Linked DNA regions of Schizosaccharomyces pombe. The gene in region 1 interacts genetically with each later gene. Each region holds a gene or a part of one and is shown on either strand. Other genes may lie near its edges.

What was found. Genes that interact genetically often act in the same process or in processes that back each other up.
Region 2: mutations in sck2 (region 1) and opy1 together harm fitness more than expected from each alone (negative genetic interaction), as found in Schizosaccharomyces pombe (2 studies listed by BioGRID).

What each region holds. Positions count from the first base shown.
Region 1 is NC_003424.3:5,045,113-5,051,031, forward strand, and holds sck2 (serine/threonine protein kinase S6K family Sck2), read right to left. Parts: upstream 3,901-5,919; 5' UTR 3,406-3,900; coding exon 1,465-3,405; 3' UTR 504-1,464; downstream 1-503. Other genes in the region: Golgi-specific 1-phosphatidylinositol 4-kinase, type III-beta Pik1, read right to left, coding at 4,297-5,919. UniProt on the Schizosaccharomyces pombe protein: Protein kinase that is part of growth control pathway which is at least partially redundant with the cAMP pathway.
Region 2 is NC_003421.2:944,016-948,399, reverse strand, and holds opy1 (protein opy1), read left to right. Parts: upstream 1-2,015; 5' UTR 2,016-2,139; coding exon 2,140-2,259; exon of another isoform or gene 2,260-2,540; coding exon 2,541-2,603; exon of another isoform or gene 2,604-2,653; coding exon 2,654-2,729; exon of another isoform or gene 2,730-2,767; coding exon 2,768-3,528; 3' UTR 3,529-3,884; downstream 3,885-4,384. Other genes in the region: ade10 (bifunctional IMP cyclohydrolase/phosphoribosylaminoimidazolecarboxamideformyltransferase), read left to right, coding at 1-568; pog1 (DNA polymerase), read right to left, coding at 3,928-4,384. UniProt on the Schizosaccharomyces pombe protein: Binds phosphatidylinositol 4,5-bisphosphate (PtdIns(4,5)P2/PIP2) at the cell membrane.

The DNA of each region.
Region 1 (5,919 bases):
ATTTGAGCTTTTGAAAAAACGATCCCGCCAGGAGTCGAACCTGGAATCTCTTGATCCGTAGTCAAGCGCCTTAACCATTGGGCCACGAGACCTTGTTATCATTACAAATAAAATATACTATTTATTATACAAGTGTGTTTTACTTAGTCAAATTGAATAAGTCTAGTATTACAAAACAAGAAGAGTCTTTAGTTTTCAAGTGATTTTTGAGAAAATGTAATTGTTTTTTTTTTTTTCCTTTTTTTATTAAATTTTATCTATTTTTCGTACTTACCGATATTTTTTACTTCGTTTTAAATTTTTTAGTTTAGTTATTTACCTTTTCTCCATCAAGACCATACATGATAACAATATTATGTGTACCATAAGTTAAAGAATATTTATTATAATTACTTTTTTTAATAAAATGAATGTACAGGTTATTTTTTTACATATTTAGTTTTTATAAACATTATATCGAATATTTGTGGCAAAGACCCACAAGACAAATGAATGAAGAGAATCACAAGTAAAATAAAAATCGATAAACTGGTTTCCAAAACCATAGTTAAAAAATTTTTATGTCATTATCGTTATATCTAAAACAAATTATCGTATACGACAGTATCCAAATACATCTTCATCTGAAGATCTATTACAAAACGACCCTCAAGGAGGGCATCAATAATACTGCTATTGTACTTTGTCTTTTCTTTTTTTTAAATTCCTTTGCGTTTAAAAGAATATGTCTTTAACTAGATTCTAACATACACCATTATACATTCGTAAAACTGAACTTCAACCTAACTGAATAAACGTCTATCCAGCAAAAGAGAAAAATAAAAAAAAAATAAGGAGAGGAACAAAATCGAAGACATTACAATTGGAGATAGAATAGCCTTAAGCAAGATGACAATTACTTAGTAAAGCAAAATACCTTACTACTAATGTCAGCCAATTCAACGAATTTTGGAATTGTGTAATTACCACTGTACACAATTAAGTCATAGTTCGGAACCAAAAAAACTAAGCACAATTTGTTCCAAAATTAGTTGATTCAACGCCATACAAGCCCAACATTACACCAAAAAAGCCTGGTGAACGTAGATTAAAATATAGAAATAATAGATCCTTTGATCATTAAGTATTCCCTTAATATGCACCGAAAAAAAATGAACTTCACCCGAACCTGCTTCCACATAAACAGGCATCTTAATAACAATCCTAAAAAATCATTCTTAGAAGGGAAATAAAAAAAAATTAAAACGATACGCTTCAATGATTAAGCGCTGATTAAATTAAAACATTATTTACCTGTCCTTCAAAATACATGTTGAAATTTTGCTGGACAACTAGTAAATAAGAAAATAGTACAACGATTGAAAGCGTGTACAAAAAGATACTCTCGGGTTCAGGGATCCAGCCTAGAAAAAATATGGGCATAAGATTCTCAATGCAGTGATACATTCGTGGAGACCAAACGTATTATGGATCTATTTGTCCCATAAATACCTCATCGTTCGCACGATTTAAGTCCATATCGGAATTGTCCTTAGAATAATCATCTTGACTGGAAATACTAGAAGCAGAATCATTTGAGTTGTGGTATCCGAATGCTTCATCCATAGCACTTGCGTCAATATAGGTAAAACCCTTAAACCCATTTTGGACAGTTGATGATAAAGGTGCAGAGGTCGACATTTCATCTGTGCTACTAAAGTCTCTATCGATTGCTTTATTTGTAAACTCGACATCAAAATTAGAAACATCTATTTCACCTTCCACTATTGGTTTAAATGGTGGACTAATTTCTTTCGCAGCGAGTTTCTTCCAATCAATTCCATCAAAAAATGGATGCTTCATTACCTCTTCAACATCCCCATGTGCACCAAGCCTATGCTTTGGATTACGATTCAATAATAGCTTAATCAAATCTCTGGCTTCTACAGATAGCAACCCTCTAGGAAAACGGACTTTACCAAACACGATATTCTTGTAAAGTTGTTGTGTGTTATCAGCGTAGAAAGGGCTCCAGCCACATGTCATCTCGTACAAAAGTACCCCTAAAGACCAGAAGTCAACCATCATATCATACCCTGCTTCGTCTAAAATAACCTCAGGAGCTAGATAATCCGTGGTACCGCAAAACGTACGTGTAGTAGTCCCCACTGAAAGATTGGCCTTTGACAAACCGAAATCACATAAGGCAATATGTCCTTGAACGTCCAAAAGAATGTTTTCAGGTTTCAAATCCCGATATACAATTCCTCGTTTATGCAACGCTTGCAAAGCAAGCAACAATTCGGCAATATAGAATTTTGCCCTTTCTTCTGGAAATCGTACCGATTTTTGAAGGTGCCAAAATAATTCGCCTCCAGCCATATAATCTGTCACCAAATATAAATCTTTGGGGGTCTGAAAAGAGAAACGTAAAGCAACGATGAAGGGCGAATCAGCTGCAGAAGTTTGGACGAGAATGTCTCTTTCCCCAACAGTGTGTGCAACTTCTTTGCGACGGACTATTACTTTTTTGGAAAGTACTTTCATTGCGTATACGCGCTCGGTGTCTTTTTTACGAACAAGATAGACTTGACCAAATGTACCTTTTCCAATTAATTTCAACGGAACGAAGTCATCAGGGCCGTAGGAGTGTTGACTGAGAGGCTGGAAAACAGTATTGAGAGAAAGACGAAGATCAACCATACGGTTGTATGCGGGAGAAACTTCAACGCTGTTGCAAAACTGTTCAAATTGACCATAATTATAAGACGGGTGAATGTAAGTTCTCCCAACAAATTCATTATTATTACCATGGTCATAAATATTAACATCGATGGGGACCGGTTTAGCAACATCAAATACAACATAAGATGGAGTTAAGGGATTTGGAATTGAAGACGTACGTTGAATTGCAGGAGTAGGAATGGGATGAGAGCTCATCATAGATGAACTCCTACTCACATTAGCAGAATCCCGACTAGATGTGCCTATATCACGGCCAGGTGATTCCCATTTCAATGGAGGTGAAACAAACTCCGTCGTACCAAATTGAACAACAACAAACAACTGATTAAGTCTTGAGCATTCCATGGCTAATGCTGCATCAGTATGAGGTCCTCCCAAAACTAATGAACCTATTTGAAGTTTCAAATAGCCTGAAGGTTCATGGTCAACTTCAGGTAATATATCATTACTATTTCTGTTACCAACCGTAGACTGGTCACTGGCGAATTCTTCCATGGGATGGTCTATCGAGGAAGGACCTAAATTTGAAACTGAAGGAAGTGAACCACCTTCACCTTCCTCAACTGGTTGATTGGTTTGGATGCTTGCCAAAGGACTTCGGGGAAGTGACCCTTTAGCAGAATTGGTGGAAACCGATTTTTTAGACAGCCCGAACCAATTTTTTGCCCACTTATTCATCATTTTATAATCACTCAAAAAACCAATTTATGTACGATTATTGTAAAAGAAAATACGAACACAAAATGTCACTGTTGGATTAATTGCTTGTAGATGCAAAAAGGGATTTTCTTTCTTTCAAGCAAGAAGAGGTATGAAAATGAATTCAAAAGGTACTTGTTTGACTGATATAATCACGACTTAATACCTGCATAAAATTTAATGATGTAAAGTCTCAAGTAATAATTCACCTCAGTTGGATATAATCCTGATAAGAAAAACTATTAATCAACACTAAAATTTTCCTACCAAATTTCTTTGTTATATCACGAATACTGTAATCAATATGAAGATACCCCATTAACCAATGTCAACTACAATATTGTGCAAAGAAACAACCCCTAGTAGAAGAAGGAACAAAGGATTATAACACAAAATTATAAATGAAAAGAAAAAAATTCCAAGTTCTAATATACAATTACTGTTTGCGCCTAATTTTTCAATTTGATGGTAAAGGGTAAATTGAAGTGGGTTGCAGTACCTAATCTTACTTTAAAATTTGGTATGTCAATATACGGAAGTGCGAAAGGATTCTTTAACCCGGATTTAACTACGCCAAATTGTTTGCTAACTTAGAAATGCAGTTAATTTAGACAGTATGCTTTAATAGTATATTATAATTGCAAGGGTTTCTAGTGGGTATGATAAATCATATAGATCACATAAAATATTTTTAATGCATTAATATAGCTAATCTAGCTAACAAAAAAATTACCAAATTTACGAACCATGGTGAATGTGGTGATTTTAATACAATATTGAAAGTTAAAAAAGCCAACCAGCAGTATGGTTCAAGTGTGGAAGCTCCGTAGCTGTATTCGAAAAAAATGAAAAGAGAAAACGAATAGCCACTTACTAGTAAATTCCGTTCGTAATATTTTGAAACAGATCATAAAGTCTCGTCCAAACACTACAATTTGCCTTTTGAATCAACAAATCCACAAAGTCATCACATTCTTTGTCACCAAGCTGTAGTTGAAAACGTTGCAAAAGTTGTGCACTTGTGTTTTCACCAGCACGAAAGCAAGGCATTGTGGAATTATTTTGCATAACTTCAACAAGCAAAATGATCTGATCAGCGTTTTTTCGAACAGATTTAAACGCAGCTTTCATCAAGGAACGATATTCATCAAACCGGTCGTCAAGGATTTCTAAATAATCCGCCGTAAGCTTAAATGGAGCGCTTTCAAAGCCAACATTCCCCGGTGTATTCGTAAGTAAAAAGCCAAAATCAATATGTATAATATGACCTTCACTATCAATAAGAACGTTACCATTATGTCTATCCTTTAACTGTAGTAAGTATGATATAATGCTATATGCCACTAATGATTGAAGGAAATTTGTCTGTGCCTGTCGATACCGGCTGCTGTTGGGATCACCAAACTGCTTTATAAAATAATCCTTCAATGTAACAACATTTTTACCAGCAATTTTTCCTTGGGCTAGTTCAGCTTCCCGAAGCTGTTTCGTCAAATTCTTTTTAATAGAGTGAACACTAATGGCATTTGTAATCGTTTCTATTAAGCCACTATTGTCGCCGGTCACTAAAATTTTCATCCTTCGAACCCAAACCTTTTCTTTACACTCTAGCCAAACACGCTGAAACGCGTATATAAGTTGACAGGCAAATGTCTCTTGCCGGAGATCCGCACCCGTTTTAACAATCACACTGACCAAATCCCAATTGGGATAATGACCATAAGGAGAAGACTTTCTTATCCTTTCCTTCTTGGCATACCAATCTTCTTGGAATGTAGCGGCACTGGGATCATCTCTATCACCTTTCCGTTCTGCCTTTTGAGTTTCTTTGCCAAATCGCAGATCTTCTGCGCATGATATGTCGACTGAAACAGGATAAATGGATGGTTCATTAAGGCGCTCTTCTTCGAGTCTTTGCATGTCAAGAATAATGCTATTTTTTATTCGTTCAGTCTCAGCTTTGGGACGTCTGCTACCTTCAGCATCAAGCTGACTTAGCATAGTTGCCGCAGCTCGCATTCTCGCTGTTATTTCTGAAGCATAGATTTTACTTCTTTTTAAGGCGCCATTTCCATCAGAATCAGAGTGGCGCCCAGATAACAGGACGACATCGGTATCTCTATGAGAGGACGGTACCTGCAAAGATACATTACCAAACGAAGAGAATGACTTACTCAAAGAAAGAGTGTCCGGTACCAACCCTTTTATCAGAGGAGACATACTTAAATCCCCTCCCTCACTTTCCGACTCTGAAATATCATTGTCGGTACTGTCTTGAAGGTTCGTATAAGGATCGACATCTGTGAGGTCAAACCACCTTTTTCTTTGGTTTTTATGAGAGACAATCTTTTGCACCTTAGCCTTATTTTTCTTCGATTGTGGCTCGAAGCTGAGTTCACCAGATAGGACCTCAACCATAATAAGATAAGGTACTCGTTCGGCAGAATTGAGTATGGTAGCCTCTTTAGGATCAATGCGAACGATTTTATGACTCAC
Region 2 (4,384 bases), on another chromosome or scaffold:
TAAGAACAAGGATTTACCCAAATCTGCTCTTATTGATTTGGTTATTGCTACCACTGCTCTTAAGTATACTCAAAGTAACTCTGTTTGCTATGCTAAGAATGGTATGGTTGTTGGACTTGGTGCTGGTCAACAATCCCGCATTCATTGCAACCGTTTGGCCGGTGATAAGGCTGATAACTGGTGGCTTCGTCATCACCCTAAAGTCTTGGGTATGCAATTTAAGAAGTCTGCTAAGCGTCCTGAGAAATCTAACGCTATTGACTTGTACGTCCTTGATGCCGTTCCTGCTGAAGGTAGTGAACGTGAGCAATGGGAGTCTGCATTCGAGACTATTCCCGAGCCTCTTACTAAAAAGGAGCGGGAGGAATTTTTGGCTACTTGCAAGGATGTTGTCTGTGCCAGTGATGCCTTCTTCCCCTTCCCTGACAACATCTATCGTCTTGCCCAAAGCGGTGTCAAATATGTTGCTGCACCTGGCGGTAGTGTCATGGATCAAGCTGTTCGCGACACTGCTAATGAGTTCAACATGGTCTTTTCCGAGATCCCCTTGCGTTTGTTCCACCATTAATCTTGTTTGTATACCTAATTTTTGACCACTATTACTATGGATATAATTTTTTTTGTTCTGTATATTTGATAGGTTTCCTCAGTTTATACCATCATTTAATAGAGGTATTACAATAAAGACTTCAACGTCTTTTACTTTTTTTGATTTAATATAAAAAAATTTGGCATCTTTTTTGTATCCTGAATTTTGAAAAGATTTCCGATACTCAAGGCATTTTATTTCAGTAATAGTAGGGAAAATATTTTTTATTGTTTAACACGAATGCAACAATTTTATTCGAAAGCTTGGAAATTCACAGCATAACGGGCTCAATAAAGCATTTTTGGTTGCTAAGCTAACATATGAAGTAGAAAGGAAAACGCCATCAAACCTGCTTTTTGGATGTGAGCTTCGCAGTAAACTGACTGAGTTAAACATGTTCTTGGGTGTTTGCAAATTTCTATTAAATTGATTGAGCGTATGTTTTTGCTGCAGTTGATTTGAAGCATAAAAAATCCGGTCAGGGAGGGACTCGAACCCTCGACCTCACGATTAACAGTCGTGCGCAATAACCAACTATGCTACCCGACCTTAGTTACTCACGAGCAAAATTAGTACTATTTAATGGTATTAAAAAGGATTTAATGACTTTAAAATTGTTTTTTTTTTAACCCCATTCTTGCTTGATATATTTCCCATCTTAAAGGGTTACATACTCTTATTCTTTTATCTTTCATTCGATTGTGATTGATTTACCATATCAATAATCATCTTACAAGACCGGAAACTATCAACTATCTGGACGTAAAGTGAAGCATAAAGAAGATGGCATAGAGGACGGAAGGGAATTTTTATTATTATTCCAAGAAACCATGCTAAAATCACGTTTAAACCCTACTCCCTACTAACTCAGTATCTACTGAGTAGCTTTCATAGGTCTCGAACCGAATGGGAAAGACCAACGCTTTCTACATTAGAGAAAGTGGTTCTCTAAAAAATATTTAAAAAAGTATTTCTTTCTTGTTGCTTTTCTTTTTGTTACAGCGAACAAGTGCTCCCTTTAAATAGCTTTTTTGTTTTCATCCTGCCAGTCCTTACAACAATCCCTTACCACTGTGCACCAATACAACCTAAAGTTGAATTTCTGTAACAGTAGGATTTACAAAAGTTCTTTTGATTCTTAATTAGTATACGAGATGTAGCACTTCTACACGATTACTGTGTCCATGTACTATATGGTTGTATGCCTCTCAAAATAAAGATGACATATTTTCAGACTACCTTTTTCAAAAAGAAGGCTTCTCAATTCTACTGCTACAATTTATTCGTACTATCATTTCTATTATTGAAATTTCTCTACCATACATTTTAATTTCACTTGACAAATAGCGATACGTTAATGAACGCTATTACTGAATATGTACGTCGCTGGTACCACTAACACGTATGCGTTAGGAAACGTGATTTTAACCAAAATCTGTATAGAGGACGACTTTACATCGTTCTAGTTTAACACCTTTCAGTTTAAGGAATTTTCTTGATGTATTCAAAAGAAAGAAGGCGTTTATTAGTTTGACTATTCGCTTGATGAAATGGACCCAGGAGTTTCATCGCATCTCAGAACTGCTAGCCTTGATGAAGCAAGAAGGCTTCCAGAGCTTGAGCGTGTTTTAAAATCCGGATGGTTGATAAAGAAAGGACATGCAACTTCTGTATGTATTCATTAACTTAGTTGTCTGAGTAATATTTACGATACGTTTGAGTGGAAAGGGATTTGGAGTATTCTTTAATTTTGTGAAGTGTACTTAGAAGTGAATGATACGTACTCTTAATTCTTTATTGTTCGCTTTTGATTTGGGGATATGATGATGCAAACAGCACCCTACAAGCACTTTGACCAATTGATTTTCAGAATATTCCAATTATTTGCTTCCCGTTTCAGAGTCAATATTTGCACTCATGGTTTTTTTTGTAGTGGATGCTAACAACCTAGACTAAAAAGCAATTATGGGCTGTTCTTCGCAGAGATCAGTTATCTTTTTACAAAGACGAAAAGGTTTGTGAATAAAATGTGCAAATTTCAACGACGCGCTAACAGTCTTCAAGGAGTACAAAACCAAATTTATTTTCCCTACTCAGGATATTTCAGCTGTTGCCTACTACAAAGAAAAATCACCAAAAAGTACGTTAGAATTTTTGATGTTTATATCTAATGTTTAGCTTTTTTCCTGTATTTAAATGAAAAGATAATTCGTCTCATTGCCACTTCAAATGAGGATGCTGAGGAATGGGTTCATGTTCTAAGATCCACAACGGGTTATAGGGCACCGTTTTCAAGACATCCTATCAGTTATATCCTTGCGAACTCTTCATCTCGAACCGAAAGCGAGCCTAACGTTCAGATCTCTGATACTGACTTCGACAATATTTCGACTGAACCTCGTAATCAAACGACTTCTCCTTTAGACTTGGAAACTGGTCAGGGTGACCATTTCTGTACTTCACTTTATGATTTGATACAGTTTGGAAAGTTGAGACCACCAGGTATCAATGAAGAAAATGCAAATTACCCCTTCAACCCACAAGAAGTTAATACGCTGAATAAGCACAGGCATTCGGCTTCCTTACAAAATCTCTATAAACTCTTGGATGAAAATAAAGTTCTTATGCAAGGAACCATTCACTGGCTACATGGAAATTTACATAGGTGGTCCAAGTGTTGGGCTGTTGTTCGTGGATATGGTATGACTATTTACAACACGAACCGAGAGTACAAACCTGTTAAAGTGATACCGATAGCCGACATTCAGGATGTTGCTGAAATAAACGTTCCGGAAAGCTCACACAAATACTTTTTTACCGTAATTACGCAAAACAAACCTATCGAATTTCGCGTTGATAACGAAGATTCACTTATACTCTGGGTTGCTGCACTTAAGACTTCTATTGACAAGGCCAATGGTACTTTTACTGCTTGTTAAAAATGGCTTTTCCATCAAAATATTTGGTGCATAATACGATTCCTCAGCTACTTTTCTAGCTACCTTCTTGTGATTTCCTTTCATAAGACTCCCCTTACCCTTCGTGTACATACGTGTTGATCCGTTCTGTTTCTATATGTTTTGACTATCTCGTTGTTTTTTTTTTGTCTAATAATATTTCCGATAATGTCCGAAAATCGACACAGCTAGTTACAAAAGTGTCTTTCTTGCTCTAATTTAATGATTTTTTTCCTTCGTCATGAGCCAGTTTGTAGTACCATCGTTCGCTCCACTAAACAAACCTTTTGATGAAAATTATTTTCAATGTCATAACTATCCCTAAAATTATCCTAACCGAAAAACACATTTTTTAACTAAAATAAATTATTCTTTTGCTGATCAGTAAAATGCTTGTGCTTTTAAATATGCAATGTTTTTTTTGTCTTCTTCTGTAATCTCTGCTGAAGTAGTAGCTTTAACATCCACAAAACACTGAATTTGCTCAAGTGGCTCAAGTGATTGACCGGACTGCTCGAGTTTTTCTAGAACTGACTCTATAGTAAGCTCTTCTCCAGGAGGTATGGGGACTTTGTTAGAGGGTGTTACACAGTCCATCTTAACATCTTTTCTTAGTACATGGTCAATATCAACGGAAGAAAAAAATGCGACAGATTGTGGAAGCTCGTTGATGCCAAGTCGTTGACAAAAAAACGCACGAGTCCACAAGTTAGCCACCTGTAAGGCAAATGCAACCCGATATTTATCTTTATCTGATGATAAATAACGAACCTCGTCATGAACAGTTAAAGAAAGGCGAGCTTCTAGATAATATTTCTTAATTAAATGATTCATGGAT